2 linked regions of the Saccharomyces cerevisiae S288C genome follow. Each later gene encodes a partner of the first gene's protein in a complex. Each region holds a gene or a part of one and is shown on either strand. Other genes may lie near its edges. The genes, in order: ESP1 and PDS1. A codon is read from its position in the direction of its gene.

The links.
Region 2: the proteins of ESP1 (region 1) and PDS1 are in contact, whole or in part, in a crystal structure (PDB 5U1S), measured with the Saccharomyces cerevisiae proteins. Residues at the interface, in NP_011612.3 of Saccharomyces cerevisiae: Lys110 (codon at 4,966), Leu113 (codon at 4,975), Met114 (codon at 4,978), Val117 (codon at 4,987), Lys118 (codon at 4,990), Ile120 (codon at 4,996), Asn121 (codon at 4,999), Asn165 (codon at 5,131), Ile168 (codon at 5,140), Leu169 (codon at 5,143), Gln172 (codon at 5,152), Lys176 (codon at 5,164), Lys205 (codon at 5,251), His207 (codon at 5,257), Ala208 (codon at 5,260), Lys211 (codon at 5,269), Ile212 (codon at 5,272), Arg380 (codon at 5,776), Asp383 (codon at 5,785), Val386 (codon at 5,794), Ile387 (codon at 5,797), Asn390 (codon at 5,806), Lys423 (codon at 5,905), Arg424 (codon at 5,908), Asn427 (codon at 5,917), Ser430 (codon at 5,926), Val431 (codon at 5,929), Phe433 (codon at 5,935), Asn434 (codon at 5,938), Val437 (codon at 5,947); in NP_010398.3 of Saccharomyces cerevisiae: Asp258 (codon at 4,273), Ile259 (codon at 4,270), Glu260 (codon at 4,267), Ile261 (codon at 4,264), Ala262 (codon at 4,261), Pro263 (codon at 4,258), Gln264 (codon at 4,255), Arg265 (codon at 4,252), Gln266 (codon at 4,249), Glu267 (codon at 4,246), Pro268 (codon at 4,243), Leu269 (codon at 4,240), Pro270 (codon at 4,237), Tyr271 (codon at 4,234), Val272 (codon at 4,231), Pro273 (codon at 4,228), Glu274 (codon at 4,225), Gly275 (codon at 4,222), Tyr276 (codon at 4,219), Ser277 (codon at 4,216), Pro278 (codon at 4,213), Phe279 (codon at 4,210), Gln280 (codon at 4,207), Gln281 (codon at 4,204), Asp283 (codon at 4,198), Ile284 (codon at 4,195), Lys286 (codon at 4,189), Leu287 (codon at 4,186), Lys288 (codon at 4,183), Thr289 (codon at 4,180).

The regions. Positions count from the first base shown.
Region 1 is NC_001139.9:681,933-692,096, reverse strand, and holds ESP1 (separase), read left to right. Parts: upstream 1-4,638; coding exon 4,639-9,531; downstream 9,532-10,164. Other genes in the region: GTPase-activating protein MDR1, read right to left, coding at 1-1,852; TEL2 (Tel2p), read right to left, coding at 2,132-4,198; ASK10 (Ask10p), read right to left, coding at 9,962-10,164. UniProt on the Saccharomyces cerevisiae protein: Caspase-like protease, which plays a central role in the chromosome segregation by cleaving the MCD1/SCC1 subunit of the cohesin complex at the onset of anaphase. During most of the cell cycle, it is inactivated by securin/PDS1 protein.
Region 2 is NC_001136.10:676,574-683,123, forward strand, and holds PDS1 (securin), read right to left. Parts: upstream 5,045-6,550; coding exon 3,923-5,044; downstream 1-3,922. Other genes in the region: replication fork barrier binding protein FOB1, read left to right, coding at 1-1,229; alanine transaminase ALT2, read right to left, coding at 1,668-3,191; YDR114C (uncharacterized protein), read right to left, coding at 5,351-5,653; mitochondrial 54S ribosomal protein bL34m MRX14, read left to right, coding at 5,602-5,919; mitochondrial 54S ribosomal protein uL1m MRPL1, read right to left, coding at 6,151-6,550. UniProt on the Saccharomyces cerevisiae protein: Regulatory protein, which plays a central role in chromosome stability. Probably acts by blocking the action of key proteins.

The sequences.
Region 1 (10,164 bases):
GAGCAGAATCCCAGTTATCAAATAACCTTTGCAGAAAATTCCTTTTTTGTTTCCGGAAAGCTGGATCTTTGTCCTTTTCACACGGTCTACAGGAGTCACAGAATTTACTCAAGAACTGAATGAATACTTCGAAACCCATATTAGATGATCCCGTTCCCATACTAATTTTGTAGGTTTCTATACTTTGGTAAAACATGTCATAGATATTGGACAAGTCATCACTGGACAGGTTGAAAGTTTTTGGCATATGGCGCAGTTGCGTTCTTTTCATGAAAGTCTCAATGTTTTGAAAAATACCTTTCTCATATTTGTGTCTTGCATGCATTGCCATTTCCTCGCTGATGACACTAAACTCTTTGAAAGCCGTAACTAACAGCTCTTGAAATTTCGTGATTTGTCTATATTTTATATCGCTTGAATCTGGGTGAGCACTTTGTCCCAGAGTTTGGAAATAGTGCTTAATTATGGCAATGAACATTCCATCATCATCGGCTTGTAAGATATCATCTGCATTTATCTTCAGAACTGCTAATGCCACCTGAAATAGAGTAATAGAACCGTTCATAAAAAAAATATCCATTATTCTAACAGCATATTCTAGAGGCATTGAAGTGAAAAACAAAGACAAAAACCAAGGTAAAGACACCACAGATAGTTGAATATCATGCTGTAAAATGTATTCCCAAAGAACCGGCATTCTGTCCTCTACAAAAGACTCGAACACTCGTTGGTCTAACAATGTACCGTACATCGTCTTTGAGTAATAACCTGGAACATAGATGTCACATAGATTACACAAGCACCAAAAAGCCTGCTCTTCAGACATAAAGATTAAAAATCCTGCAACAACTATATTCATGGCCTGGCAATATCCAACATCAGGGTTCTTCCACGAATAAGCTGTCAGAACATTTCTCAACCTTTGAATACCTTCTTCAGTCTGGTATGCTGAGTATTCGGGCAGCGATCTCTTCAAATCCTTCTCAATTTCGTCGATAGCTTGCGATGTTTTACCAGCATTCTCGTTTAATATCCTTTCGTACTCCCCAGAATTTGCATAACGCATATACATTGCACCTGAACATAGTTCCCAAATTTCACCTCTCATTCGATTTGGAACACCGATTCTGATTAACTTTCGGAACATAGGAGTTTGCACAACTGCCAAATTCCTTCCATTCTCTCTGAAATAATCGAACCATAGCCTCAATTTAGCCTTTTCTTTTACCATAGTAGGATTACCGGGATACTTGAAATGTTGTCCTAGACCTGCCCTGGGTACAGTTATGTCCTTTTTACCTAGAATATTTTTAGCAATTAAGAACTCCGAATATGAGGTTTCTAGAAAAGCAGGTAAAGTTTTGGCATTAGGAATATTTTCTTTCAAATTTAGTTTCAATTTGTCACAAAACTGCTCCGATCTATAACGTATACCGATAAATTGAATCAGAACCTTTGCTCCTGTGTACAAAGTTACTAGAAGAGCAAATTCATATGATTCGGATGGCGACCTCTCTACACGTTTAATGGTAGAAATATTCAGTATTAGTACGCACGATGAATGATCAAATGCATCTCGAAATACCAGAAAATGAGGTGTTAAAAACAATCTCCCGGAATACACATAAGCAGTTTTTCTCCCTTTATTGTTCACTCTATCAGAATGCCCTTTTCCATCTTTAATGGAAGTTGCAAATGAAACTTCTGCATTCGTATCTTCCAAAATGTTTTCATTAGCTGGAAGTTTATATTTTAATCTGAATTTCTCATCTCTGGTTAATGTTGGAGTGAAACTGTCTGCCAGTTTATCCAAAAAGGGTGCCTTTTGACGTAAAGAATCAAAAAATGACATATCCTATCCTTTAACTAATAATTGTATCAACTCTGAGGTTGTTCGGTGCTTTAATTGATGGATCAGTGCTTTCAAAATGTACAATTTCTTAAATGTTGTTGGGCCCTTACCAAGCAGATTTGTTCAGGCCTTTTCTTATTGAAGTTCTTTTTCCCAGTTGCAGGAGTCGGCCGACCTTCTGAAATAATATGCTGTGCATTAAATACTAACGACGCTGACAGAGAACGCACTAAATTTATTCAAATATGTATCATAAGATTGGTACAAATAACTATGCTACTAACCTTTATTGAGAGAAATTCCTTCCTCTATGGCTGAACTAATTATATGATTCATCAACTCCGTCATGGATTCAAAATCGTGGACCGGGTTAGCGCAAGAGTATATGATACGCAGTGTTGTTAAATAATGCGACTTAAAAAGCTGATTGTATGTGCCTACGTCAATTCCATTAAGCCAACCGTGTGCTAGCGGATAGAAGAATAGACCAGCATATTTTCTAAAGCGGTTTTGCGTTCCTTTTTCTCGATCCTTGCCTAGTTTTCTAGATTTCCATACTGTTTTCGTCTTCTTTATCATACTTGTTGACTCTTGAACTTCAACAAGCCTACTATTATGATGGCTTTGATCATCCCACGGTAAACGATTTGTTGGAAAATCAAACTTGGGCTTGACAATAGTAGGATCATCAAGCCCTCTCAACTCTCTTGCAGAAAGACCCAGAGCCGACAATAGTGACATCCTTTGCTGTAACGACAGTTCTGAATTGAATAGAATATTTATAGCGCCATTCACCTTCTCTGGAAGGACGACCAGTATGCTTGTTAGAGCGTTTATTCTCCACTGCTCGAAAAGCGGTTCATCAAATTCATTATTCAAGCACACAATGCTTGACAGAATACCTTGTGCATAATAGCCAACCTCTAACTGAAAATCCGCCTTTTGCCGTATCAATTTCACTGTTTGCTTCAGAAGTGGTATCAATGGAGCTTTTCGAGATTCCCCAGTTTTTTCGTATTCTTTCATTAAATCTTTTAAAAATACAATTCGTTTAACAATCTCCCGCTCATCGTTCTCATCTTCATCATCGCTATCACTGCAGTCCAATGTAAGGCTTTGAACATGACCCGAGACCTCAGTAATCTTATCCTTACCCACATCAGTTTGGGTATTGCATATGGATGGATTTTTTAAAGATTGGAAATCAATGATTTTATCATCGCTATTGCTTTCGAATTTGACATTCGGTATATTGATTTTAAAATCACTTTCGTACTTCAGATGACCGCCTGATAAAAGCTTGGCAATAAACATCGCACGCTCCCTTGCCTCACGTTCATTGCTACCTAAATGTTTGGTCACGCCATTCAAAAACCGCTCATCGTGTGCTATTTCCTCTCTCTGGGAATGATTGAGATTGTGCACTGCAAAGAGTACAAGCAATTCACATGTCTTTGTGTCTACTTCCTCATCTGTAAAATCAGCAAATTTACTTACCAAAGCGCTAACAAACTTCGTGGAAGAGTGGTTGCTCATCAGACGTACTATCACTTCCTTCAATGGCAGCGACTGTATTTCAAATAATACGGACAGACTTATGATTTTATCGAGATCAAACCGCCGCAGAATTTTCCTAACATCGTTCAAATTTTCTAAAGTCACGATAACTTGAATATATGGTAATAAAAACTTAGCAATCAGCCTCTTTTGATCTATCAGACTACTAGCAGATATGATTTTCTGAAAAGAAAAGAAATACGACTCTTTCAATAAAAATAATTCGCCTAATAACATATCTGCCGCTAGCACTGGGTTAAGCAAAAATGATGAAACTAACCATTCCCCTAAAAACCCAGGTGGATCTGTTTCATTACTCTCAAGTAGAAATTTCCACTGAAGCCGAAGGTATCCCAAATATTTCGCCATATCAATTCGGTTGGCCAACACATTAAATAACTTGCTCCCAAAGAAAAGGGCCTTAATGCTATCACGGTCTGCTTTGCTAGTAGTGCTTGCCTTTAAATAAAAAGTCAAACATCCCGGTTCAAAACTGATGATGTCTTCTAAAATTTCTTGGTATATGCGTATCTCTTGCAGTCCATCGCGGCCACTTATTGTCCTTGAGAAGGTGACAATTTGGCATAAAAATGTAAACGATTTAGAAGCTAGCCGTCTCAATATCACCTTCGATCTTTCTGGTAGTGATGGATAAACTGGAATTACGAATTTTATGAGAACCATCGAGGCATCTAGATCCACCGGTTCGCGAGGATAGGAATCTAGTTGTATTAAAGCTTCATGTATTTGACTGCTGTCAAGCCCTTGTTTCAGCGTTTCTAAAACCATTTCATGAGGAATTAAATGCGTATAAAGTAGCTCGATTCACGTTCTATTAGCGGCAACCTGTCCACAAGTACTTATTGTCTGCATTTCTTGGTGTTTGTTTTTATTTTCTTTCTTTTCAAACTTCACGGGTCTTTACAGAAAAGAGGTAAACAAACAAAAACAAGAACATGGATACAAAGCCCATCCACGTAACATTGCGCATTTGAAGCGAGAAGCTTACCACAATTAGTTAAATTCCTTTTGGAGGAATATAGACACTCTATCATCAGAAACATCCGAATTATTTTAGTTAGGACACGTTTCACAGGAGCATCTGGCTATAGCATATTTTTCTTTTCCTTCTAACTGCGAGCATAGTAAAAAGTTGACCTAAACCCAACATTTTTGAGGCTAACCTAGTAATAATTTAACCTAGGCACGAAGTGCTTATAAATTAAGGAATGATGGTAAAACAGGAGGAACCGCTGAATGAGATTAGTCCGAATACTCCGATGACTAGCAAGTCCTACCTTTTAAACGACACGCTTTCGAAAGTACATCATAGTGGCCAAACTAGACCACTGACCTCGGTGTTGTCTGGAGACGCCTCATCCAATTCTATTGGCATACTAGCAATGCATAATAACATAATACGTGACTTTACAAAAATTGCAAGCAATAACATAGACTTAGCCATTGAGGATATTACCACTGTTGACCATTCATTAAATTCAATATATAGCCTATTGAAGAGCCATCACATGTGGGGCCATATAAACTCCACTGTTAAACAACATTTGATGATAATTGTTAAACTAATAAATAATAACGCATTAGGATTGGCCTCCTCTGAAATTATTTTTCTTTTCAATGAAACGAATTTATTTCAAGCTCATAGTCTGAAAAACATTCTTCTAGCAGACTTCAGTACGTGGAACGACTACTATCTTTCAAATCTGAAAATATTAGCGCTGCAGATTATACTGAAAAGAAAGCTAGTAGACGAATACTTACCGCATATATTAGAACTATTTTCCCATGATAAAAGATATCTTTTGAAAGACCCTAACCTCAAAGCTCACGCTCTCACAAAAATCGTGCTGAGCTTTTTTTCTGTCACGACGAGTTGCAAAGTTCTATTCGGGCTAAAATTTCTACAATATATCAAACAGTTCAAATTACCTTTTAAAAAGTTCATTAGCAACATTACCGTCGAGTGTTTTAGCAAAAACCTTCTTCATAAAAATTATTTGGAGATGGGACCTAATAAAATATATTTAAATTCATTTTACTTATCCTATTCCATGCTGTACGATGGATTGGATAAAATAATGCTTCTAGACATTTTAAGTTACGAAGAAACTACTGAGGTACAAAGAGCGATAAAAAGTAAAAAAGAATTCAATGAATACTGCAACATGAGTGAAAACCGTCTTCTCTGGTCCTGTATATCTGTCGATGATTTGAACGTAATACTCGAAAATGCAACGAATTTTCTACAAAATAAAGGGAAACATATATCCGCAACATTAAAATGTTTAGTCTGTCTTTGGTCTACTATTCGCCTAGAGGGATTACCTAAAAATAAGGATATATTGAGGCAGTTTGATTGTACTGTTATTTATATCAACTCAAATATTAAATCCATTAATGACGAATCTGCGGCGGCATTATTATCCGAACTTCTGGGAGTTTTATCAGAAATTTGTATCGATTATAAAGAGCCTAAACGACTGTCAAATATTATCAGTGTCCTTTTCAATGCTTCTGTTTTATTTAAGAGTCATTCGTTTTTGTTAAAGACTGCTAATTTGGAAATCTCAAATGTTTTAATCAGTAATGATTCAAAAACATCTCATCGTACTATACTGAAATTTGAAAAATTTATATCTAGTGCTCAGAGTGCCCAGAAAAAAATTGAAATCTTTTCCTGTTTGTTCAATGTATATTGCATGCTACGAAATGATACGCTATCATTTGTTTTTGACTTTTGCCAAAATGCATTCATTCATTGCTTTACACGCCTAAAAATCACAAAATTCATCGAGTTTTCAAACAGTTCAGAAATTATGCTTTCAGTACTGTATGGAAATTCATCTATCGAAAACATTCCTTCCGAAAATTGGTCACAACTAAGCAGAATGATATTTTGCTCACTGAGGGGTATCTTTGATTTGGATCCTTTAGAGCTAAATAATACGTTTGATAAATTACACTTGCTCAACAAATATGAGCTATTAATACGAATAGTGTACCTATTGAACCTGGACATGAGTAAACACCTGACAACGAATCTATCGAAAATAACTAAGCTGTACATAAACAAATGGCTACAAAAATCAGATGAAAAGGCCGAGAGAATATCGTCATTTGAAATGGACTTCGTTAAAATGCTATTGTGCTACTTGAACTTTAATAATTTTGATAAGTTATCCATTGAACTTTCACTCTGTATTAAATCAAAAGAAAAGTATTACTCCAGTATTGTGCCTTATGCCGACAATTATTTGCTAGAGGCTTATCTGAGCTTATATATGATTGATGATGCCCTCATGATGAAGAATCAACTACAAAAAACAATGAATTTATCAACGGCGAAAATAGAGCAGGCGTTATTACATGCAAGTTCTTTAATAAATGTCCACTTGTGGGACTCTGACTTGACAGCGTTTCAAATATATTTTGGAAAAACACTGCCTGCTATGAAGCCTGAATTATTTGATATCAATAACGACCACAACCTACCCATGTCACTTTACATCAAAGTCATACTTTTGAACATAAAAATTTTTAATGAAAGCGCGAAATTAAATATTAAAGCTGGTAATGTTATATCCGCAGTAATTGATTGTAGAAAAGCACAAAATTTAGCATTATCGTTGCTCAAAAAGAAGAACAAATTGTCACAAGGATCCAGGCTAGCATTACTAAAAAGTCTATCGTTTAGTTTTTTCCAACTCATTAAAATACATATACGCATTGGTTCTGCCAGAGACTGTGAGTTCTACAGTAAAGAACTGTCTAGAATTATTTCTGACTTAGAGGAACCTATTATCGTCTACAGATGTCTGCATTTTCTTCACAGATACTATATGATTACAGAGCAAACCTGTCTTCAAAATATAACTTTGGGAAAAGCCAATAAGGCATTTGATTATCTTGATGCTGAGGCAGACATTACAAGTTTGACAATGTTTCTGTATGATAATAAGGAATTTGTAAAGTTAGAGCAGTCGTTGGTCCTATATTTCGGTGACCAGCTAGAAAAAACATTCCTACCTAATTTGTGGAAGCTTCACTTGGGTAAGGATATTGACGACAGCATTTGTCTGTCCGAATATATGCCCAAAAATGTAATCAATAGAGTACACAATATGTGGCAAAAAGTAATGAGCCAATTGGAGGAAGATCCTTTCTTCAAAGGTATGTTTGAATCTACCCTTGGGATTCCCTCTTCTCTGCCTGTTATTCCTAGCACGATGCCCAACAACATTTTAAAAACTCCTTCCAAGCATAGTACAGGATTGAAGCTTTGCGATTCACCAAGATCGTCGAGCATGACGCCTAGAGGTAAGAATATAAGACAGAAATTTGATAGAATTGCTGCTATTAGTAAATTAAAACAGATGAAAGAACTTTTGGAGAGTTTGAAACTAGACACATTAGATAATCACGAACTGTCCAAAATTTCCTCCCTTTCTTCATTAACTCTGACTATCCTTTCAAACATAACTAGTATCCATAATGCTGAGAGTAGTTTGATAACTAATTTTTCGCTAACTGACTTGCCAAGGCATATGCCTTTGTTATTCGATAAGGTATTGAATAATATTGATAATAAAAATTACCGAGAATTTCGCGTTTCATCACTAATAGCTCCGAACAATATATCCACAATTACAGAGAGTATTAGAGTATCTGCCGCCCAGAAGGACTTAATGGAGAGCAACCTTAATATTAATGTTATAACTATTGACTTCTGTCCCATAACTGGAAATTTACTTCTATCCAAATTAGAACCGCGACGTAAGAGAAGGACGCATTTAAGGCTACCGCTAATACGATCTAATTCAAGAGACCTCGACGAAGTTCATCTCTCATTTCCGGAGGCTACAAAAAAACTACTTTCTATTATCAATGAAAGCAACCAAACGACGTCAGTGGAAGTTACCAACAAGATTAAAACAAGAGAAGAAAGAAAATCTTGGTGGACCACAAGATATGATTTGGATAAAAGAATGCAACAATTGTTGAATAACATTGAAAATAGTTGGTTCAATGGCGTTCAAGGGTTTTTTAGCCCTGAAGTAGTCGACAACTCGTTATTTGAAAAATTTAAAGATAAATTTTACGAAATTCTGCATCAAAATCTTCCTTCCAGAAAACTCTATGGCAATCCGGCAATGTTTATAAAAGTTGAAGATTGGGTAATCGAATTGTTCTTGAAACTTAATCCGCAAGAAATCGATTTTCTTTCGAAGATGGAAGACCTGATATACTTTGTTCTTGATATTCTTCTCTTCCATGGTGAAGAAAATGCTTACGACGAAATTGATTTCAGCATGCTTCACGTGCAGTTAGAAGAGCAAATAAAGAAATATAGGGCAACTATGACAACTAATAGTATATTTCATACATTTTTAGTCGTTAGCAGTTCATGCCATTTATTCCCTTGGGAGTGTCTTTCATTTTTGAAAGATTTGTCTATCACACGTGTTCCGTCCTATGTTTGTCTGAATAAACTTTTATCGCGTTTCCATTACCAACTACCCCTTCAAGTAACTATTGAGGACAACATTAGTATGATATTAAATCCGAACGGAGATTTGTCCAGGACTGAATCTAAATTCAAGGGTATGTTCCAAAAAATAATCGATGCAAAACCTTCCTCTCAATTAGTGATGAACGAGAAGCCGGAAGAGGAAACACTTTTGAAAATGCTGCAAAATTCTAACTTATTCGTTTATATAGGGCATGGCGGAGGTGAACAATATGTAAGGAGTAAGGAGATTAAGAAATGCACCAAAATTGCCCCCAGCTTTTTACTGGGCTGCTCTTCAGCAGCGATGAAATATTACGGCAAGTTAGAACCTACTGGAACAATCTATACTTATTTGCTGGGAGGATGCCCTATGGTACTAGGTAATCTGTGGGATGTAACTGACAAAGATATTGATAAATTTAGCGAGGAACTTTTTGAAAAGATGGGATTTCGCTGTAATACTGACGATTTGAATGGTAATAGCCTATCTGTTTCATATGCCGTCTCTAAATCTAGAGGTGTATGCCATCTACGTTACTTGAACGGCGCAGCTCCTGTTATTTATGGGTTACCGATCAAGTTCGTATCATAATTGTTACATGTACTGGCTGTTTCGAAAAGATTTCATATAGGCATTGAGAAAAAGCATGGGAAATCCGATTTTGTTCTTATATCCAAAAATAATAAGTAAAAGAACCTGGGATTGATAAAAAAGTTTCATCTTTTTAGTATAGTTCATAATAGTAATTTTCATTTCATTATTGGGCACCTCATGGTGCGATACAAATATTTTAAGATTGCTTATATAATCACGAACACCTTTACGTACCATCCCAAACTACCACACAGTTGTTAGTTCACATACCATTGACACAAAGTCATAGCAGGAATTAAAAACACGAAACATCTATATTCTATAGGAGTTGCATTATAAAAATATGAATAAAAAACGGTGCTTAGAAAATAAACGGCGAACCATACAGGCTGTTTCTCAAAAGAGAACAAAAGTTAAGGCGTAACAATTAAGAATAAATCGACTGGTTTAGCTTTATAGTATCATTATTAGTTGAATCACCATCATCTTCTTGAATTCCACCACTCATAAATTGGTTAGTCATTAGATTACCACCGTGATTTGCACCCTTTTTTGAAAACATTAAACTATTCAAAGAACTAAATGATACGTTTTTCTTGTGCTTTCGGATAGGATGCACCCTAGAAGCTG
Region 2 (6,550 bases), on another chromosome or scaffold:
CACACTTGATGAATAAGCATCTTAGGGGTAAAACATTACATTCCTTTTTATTTTCTCATTTTGCCAATATTAGTCATGCCATCATCGATTGGGTCCAGCAATTTTGTTCAAAATGTAATAAAAAGGGCAAAATTAAACCATTGAAGGAATATAAACGTCCTGACATGTACGATAAACTACTACCAATGGAAAGGATACATATTGAGGTATTCGAACCCTTCAATGGAGAAGCTATTGAGGGAAAATATTCTTATGTCCTTTTATGCCGAGACTATCGCTCTAGTTTTATGTGGTTATTACCACTTAAGAGTACCAAATTCAAACATCTTATCCCAGTTGTTTCCTCACTTTTTTTAACATTTGCTAGGGTTCCAATTTTCGTAACATCAAGCACTTTAGATAAAGATGATCTTTATGATATTTGTGAAGAAATTGCATCAAAATACGGTCTCCGTATTGGCTTGGGTTTGAAGAGTTCTGCGAGATTTCATACTGGGGGTATACTGTGCATTCAGTATGCTCTAAATAGTTATAAGAAGGAATGTCTAGCCGATTGGGGTAAGTGCCTAAGATATGGCCCTTACAGATTCAACCGAAGGAGAAATAAGAGAACGAAACGTAAACCTGTGCAAGTACTACTTAGTGAAGTTCCAGGTCACAATGCCAAGTTTGAGACTAAGAGAGAAAGGGTTATAGAAAACACATATTCCCGTAATATGTTCAAGATGGCAGGTGGAAAAGGTCTTATATATTTGGAAGATGTCAATACTTTTGCCCTTGCTAATGAAGCGGATAATAGCTGTAACAATAATGGAATTCTTCATAATAACAATATAGGAAATGATAACTTTGAAGAAGAAGTGCAAAAACAATTTGATCTAACTGAAAAAAACTATATCGATGAGTATGATGATTTGGCACATGATTCTTCAGAGGGCGAATTTGAACCTAATACCTTAACTCCCGAAGAAAAGCCTCCTCATAATGTCGATGAGGACCGAATAGAGTCCACCGGCGTGGCAGCCCCAATGCAGGGAACAGAAGAGCCTGAAAAAGGGGATCAAAAAGAAAGTGACGGTGCATCACAAGTAGATCAAAGTGTCGAAATAACTAGACCAGAAACTTCCTACTATCAAACTCTGGAATCGCCGTCAACAAAACGACAGAAATTAGACCAACAGGGTAATGGAGATCAAACAAGAGACTTTGGCACATCAATGGAATTGTAATAATATGTAGGATAGAATGAAAGGAGGAGTCACCATAGGTGAAAAAAAAAAGCACCTATTGCATATAAAGTATTCAAAAAGGTGTTGAAAGCTCTTCCTGTATATGACCCTGTATTTAATGTACGCGGTTAAAAAATTTTTATATTTTTAAATAAGTATCAACTTGGATAATATGATCTTGCCCGCAAGGTGGTTTTATATGAATAATTACTTTTTTTTTTTTTTTTTTTTTTTTTTTTTTTTTTTAATTGAACAATAGATGCAGAGGAATGCTCCAAAATTTATTTCCTTGAACAATATTACAAGAGGCAGATATATACTTTTCCTTATTTCCCTTAGTAAAGAATGATGCATGTATACTATTACAAATTTAAACTTCACCCCCACCATGGATGCAAAACAAATAGAAAGCCATTATCATTAGTTTTTTTTTTTCATTCAATTACGATACTTGCTGAAGAAATCTTGATGAAATTCTTTCCAGTCTTGAATCCATTTAGTCCCTGGAGCCAAAAACGTTGTTCGCACATGATAAGTCCCGGGTCTTTGTCCGAACCCAGACCCTGGGACAGTACAAATACCTGTAGATTCTAGCAAAGATGTGCAATAGAACTCATCAGGTTCGATGCCAAGGCGTTCGCTTTCACAAAGAGCTTTCTTAGGTAAAACAAGCCTAGGGAAAAGATACATTGCACCCTGAGGTTTTTGGCATTCGATACCCTCTAGTTCCTTAAACGTCTCGTACAATAAGTTTGCTCTCGTACGCATTTCATGAAAAATTTTCAGCCTTTCGTCATGATCTTGTTCATAGGACTCGTCTCCAGGCTGGGGTGGTTTGACCATTAAATCAACCACAGCTTGTCCTGTGACAACAGAACATATGGATATAGACATGAGTTTGAAAAGAGCATCTCTTATTTCTTGAGAAAACCCAATAATTTCCATGTAACCGCCTCTTTGGCCGCACTCATCCATGAATCCTTTAGAAATGGAGTGTAAAGAGGCGAGCTGAACGTTATCGAATTTTCCTGGATAAAGATGCTGCAATTTTCTTAGGACTTTCTTCATCGAATGAAATTTAACATCGTTGAAAATGTTTTCTTGATAGACCTCATCAGAAATGATTGTAATGCCGTATTTCGCAGCGATCAAACAGATCCTGGCAATGGTTTCTTCAGAAAGAACTGCACCGGTTGGGTTACCTGGATTAATAACTATCAGCACAGATGGTCTGATCTGTTTTTTCAAAGCATCTTGCACTACTTTTTCAATTTCGTCGCTGTTTGTAGACCAATTTGACTCCTCATCTAAGTAGTATGGCAGCACTTGTGCATTGAAAAGAGATGCGGATGCAGTATAAAGCGGATACTGCGGAATTGGAATCAGCAGGCCTGTTTGAGAATCTTTACACAATAAAGATAACAAAGAAGTTGCCGCGGACGAAGCGCCAGTGGTTAAATAAATATCTTCCGGTGTAGCGGGCTCACCGCCGTCTCTTCTAGTAATGAAGTCAGCAACTGTTTGCCTTATTCCTGGCACACCTTGAGAATGCGAATATGCCCCTATAGAACCGCCAATATCATTCAAGAGGCGCTCAGCTCTTTCCAAGGCGTCCCTGGAAAACAAGTTCAAAGAAGCCAGTTCATTATGGCCTACTCGTAAAATTTCCGGGTACTCCAGGATGGCCAGTACTTGCCTGGTAAAGGTCAAAGGCTTCTGATCCAGTTGCTGCGGATTACCAATGTTCGCATTGATAATATCATCGAAAGGCAAAACTTCTGGGTTTTTTTTCAATTCCTCTTTTAGCTCGTCAGCTCTGGTTGGAATAGCTCCTCTTACAGCATATTCTGCCTTAGTGACACCTGTATTCAAATCTTTTTTAGTAATCTTGCCAGCGGGCTTAAAATCCAAATCCTTTGCGGTGAACACACCTTTCAAATCCTGTTGGTGTGTCATTGTCATGTGTTCTTACTTCTTCTGTGTTTACCACTTACAAAAACAACACTACTGTGGCGCTCCTTCCCTTTATTCTTATCTTTTATGCCTCTAGAGATATGAGGAAATATTGGGGTATTTACTGAATGAGAAAAGGATGATGTCAGTCAAGAAAGGATCAAAAAGAAAAGTGAACAGAATATAGTTCCCACACGAAGTAGTAAATTTAGCTATCCTAAAAGTGTATTGGTAATTTGAAGAGATATGTAGATGTACATATGGGACCATAAGAGTAGGAAAAATAAAATAAAATCGCCAAACAAGTAGGAGAAGCCTCAAGATACAAGCCGTTTCCATGGAGAAAATATTGCGAATGAGGCCAAACTTGAACTTTTTTTTTTTCTGCTAAAAAATTCAGAAAAAAAATGAAATTATTTTCTTAGGTATAATGAAGTAATTATGACGAAGTACTTTGAGAACCCATAAAGAGAAGCAATTGAAGACGTGTGGAGGACATCAGCCCGCAGCACATTAGTAGAAACAATAGTATCGTGATGTGATCCCTCTTGGACCCTTTGCCAATCAAGGGTGAAGCGAAGCCATTTAAAACGTACGAACAATGGCGGTAGTTGAGGTATGGGTGAGGCCGCAGATTAAATCCCGGCGGCAGGAGCAACCGCTTTTAACCAGAATTGTATGTTATAAAGTATCTGTATATACGTGTATATATGTTGTGTGTATGTGAATGAGCAGTGGATCTAAGTAACTAAGTCCTCTAGTTCTTCAGGATCGAGGCCTTCTTCGCTGTACACTAACTCCATGGTTGGGACGGCGGCAACTTCTTTGAAGTTCTTAGACAGCAGTGGTAACGCTGCACCTTCTTCTTGATTCCGAGTGATGCACTCAGTCTCATCTTTTTCGCCTTCTTCATCAATTTGTTCTAGTGGGAGTAAATCAACTTTATCTGGGGTGTCATCTTCGTCTTCCAAGTCAAGCTTATATGGTGAGTTGAACGTCTTCAGCTTTTCAATATCATCTTGTTGAAATGGGGAATAGCCTTCTGGTACATACGGTAACGGCTCCTGCCTCTGTGGTGCTATTTCGATATCATAGTCATCAGTTTTATCACTTTTATCGTTTTTAGTTTTTTGCTCATTCTTCGTGGAGTTCTTTATGAGTTGTTGCAGACCACCTTGCTCATTAAATAGTCCTAGGCCACCATTTAATTCATTTTCACCGTCGGAGGAATCCTGTTTTAAAAGTGCACTTTGGAGTTTTTTGCCAAGTTTACTCTCGGAATCTTCATTACCTTCATCATCGTCGGAACTCTCTTCATTTTTACCTGAATCTGCAAGATCTTTTAAAACTAGACTTTTCATTTTAGGTAAAGCATTATAACCAAGGACAGAACCGTACTTTTGTAACTTTCTTGAATTGCTTAACAAATCATTATGGTTGGCCCTACTACGACTGCGAGAAATTTGCGAAAGTTTCCTGAGTTGGTCGTTTTTGCGTATAGATAGTGTATTCTGTAGTTGTGGTAAGTCTGCATCTTTACTCTGATTAGAAGTTTCGGGAAAAATAAAGCTTTTCGATCTATTGTTGTCTTTTGCTGCCAGAGGCAATCTTCCTTGTTGTTGCGCATGGGTATGCAACCTTTTTGTGGGTGACACCTCCTTCCCTCCTTGTATGTACTTTAATGTGTTGCCATTGTTGCTGTTCGCATCCCTTTTGAGTTGGTCCAATCTTACAGGTGGTTTTAAAATATTAGAGTGCGACCTTTTCAGCAAGTGAGCCGGCGTCTGTGGAAAGTTAATGCCGGAACTTTCATTCCCTGTATATACGATATTATTCTCTTTATCTTCGTTAGCTGGCATCATAAAGGTTTATTATCTAGCACTTAATCTAGCTTGGTACCGCAGAAGTGTAATAGTATGTGAATGGGAAAAACCGCTAGCAACCGTTACTTGCCTTCGCCGAATATTGATTTAAAGCTGCATTTATTTTGTTTGTTTATTTTGTTTGTTTTTCTTTTTGACCTCTTACACGAGTTTTTTGACGCGTTTGAGATCTTTGTGTGAAAACGATAAGCAACCTACGCTAACAAATACACACGTCGCACGGAAAGTGATAGTGAAGCAGATATTTCTCGCAAATCCTATGTTATCCGTAAAATAAATCCAACCCTAAAGTATTAACATGTAACAACTTAAGCGCTTCCTTAAGACTGTATAGATATATATATATACATATATATACATAATCATGAAACGCATCGTCGAAAGGTCATTTGAAGCTCGGATCACGTGATCGAAAGCTGTAAGGAATTTGAAAAGCCAATTTTCCCGTAGAAGCTGTGAGGTACAACAAGTGAAATAACTACAGGAGAAACTCACTGAGAAACGTTGGAATAGAACAGTAGTAATCGCAGGACGGAATGCCACTATTTGCAAGGCTCTGCCAGCCTCAATCAAGAAGAATGTTTTCATCTATATCTTCTTTCTCTGCTCTATCTGTGTTACGCCCACAAACCGGTATGCTCTTAAACAGTTCACCATTGAAGACTCCGTCCTTCACACCGTTGGGATTTGGCTTAATAGGTCAAAGAAGATGGAAATCAAGGGGTAACACCTATCAACCTAGTACATTGAAACGGAAGAGAACTTTTGGTTTCTTGGCTAGGGCCAAGAGCAAACAGGGCTCTAAGATATTGAAAAGGAGGAAGCTCAAAGGTAGGTGGTTTTTGTCTCATTGAAATTTCACATACTATTCAGATAAATTTGAATACTTCTTGTACATAGGTATCTAATGATTATGCAACATACACTTTCACTATTATTCAAAAATAAAAGAGCAGTTACTTTATTCCACTTTAAAAAGACGGTTACTTTGTATGTACATGATTTTATATAAAAAGAAAGAAAATGCACCAGTATATATATATATACAATTAAAAAAGTCCAACAAGACAAAACTGATTCGCTGATTAAGCAAAATCGATTACAATACCGGGGCCATGTGTGCTTGATAATGTGGTTTTACTCAGTATATTTGGTTTCTTAGATTTTTGATTATCAACAGCAGTTTTAAATGCCGCTCTAGCGGATATAATGTTTTGTAAAATTTCTCGATCAGTGAAGTAGCATTTGCCGACTCCAATGCTGATAGAGTTTCCCCTTTGCCTGAAAGGCATAGATCCTAGACTTTCTTGAAGTAAGGAGCTTATATCATCACTCACCGTACCTTTTTTGACAGAGGGTAAAACCCCACGAGGACCAAGTATCCTGGCCACCTGCGATTGTAAAGCTGGAACAATATCAGGAGTTGCAAATGCTTTGTCAAAATCAACGCTAATTTCACCGCTTTTAATTTTGGCAACAAGATCT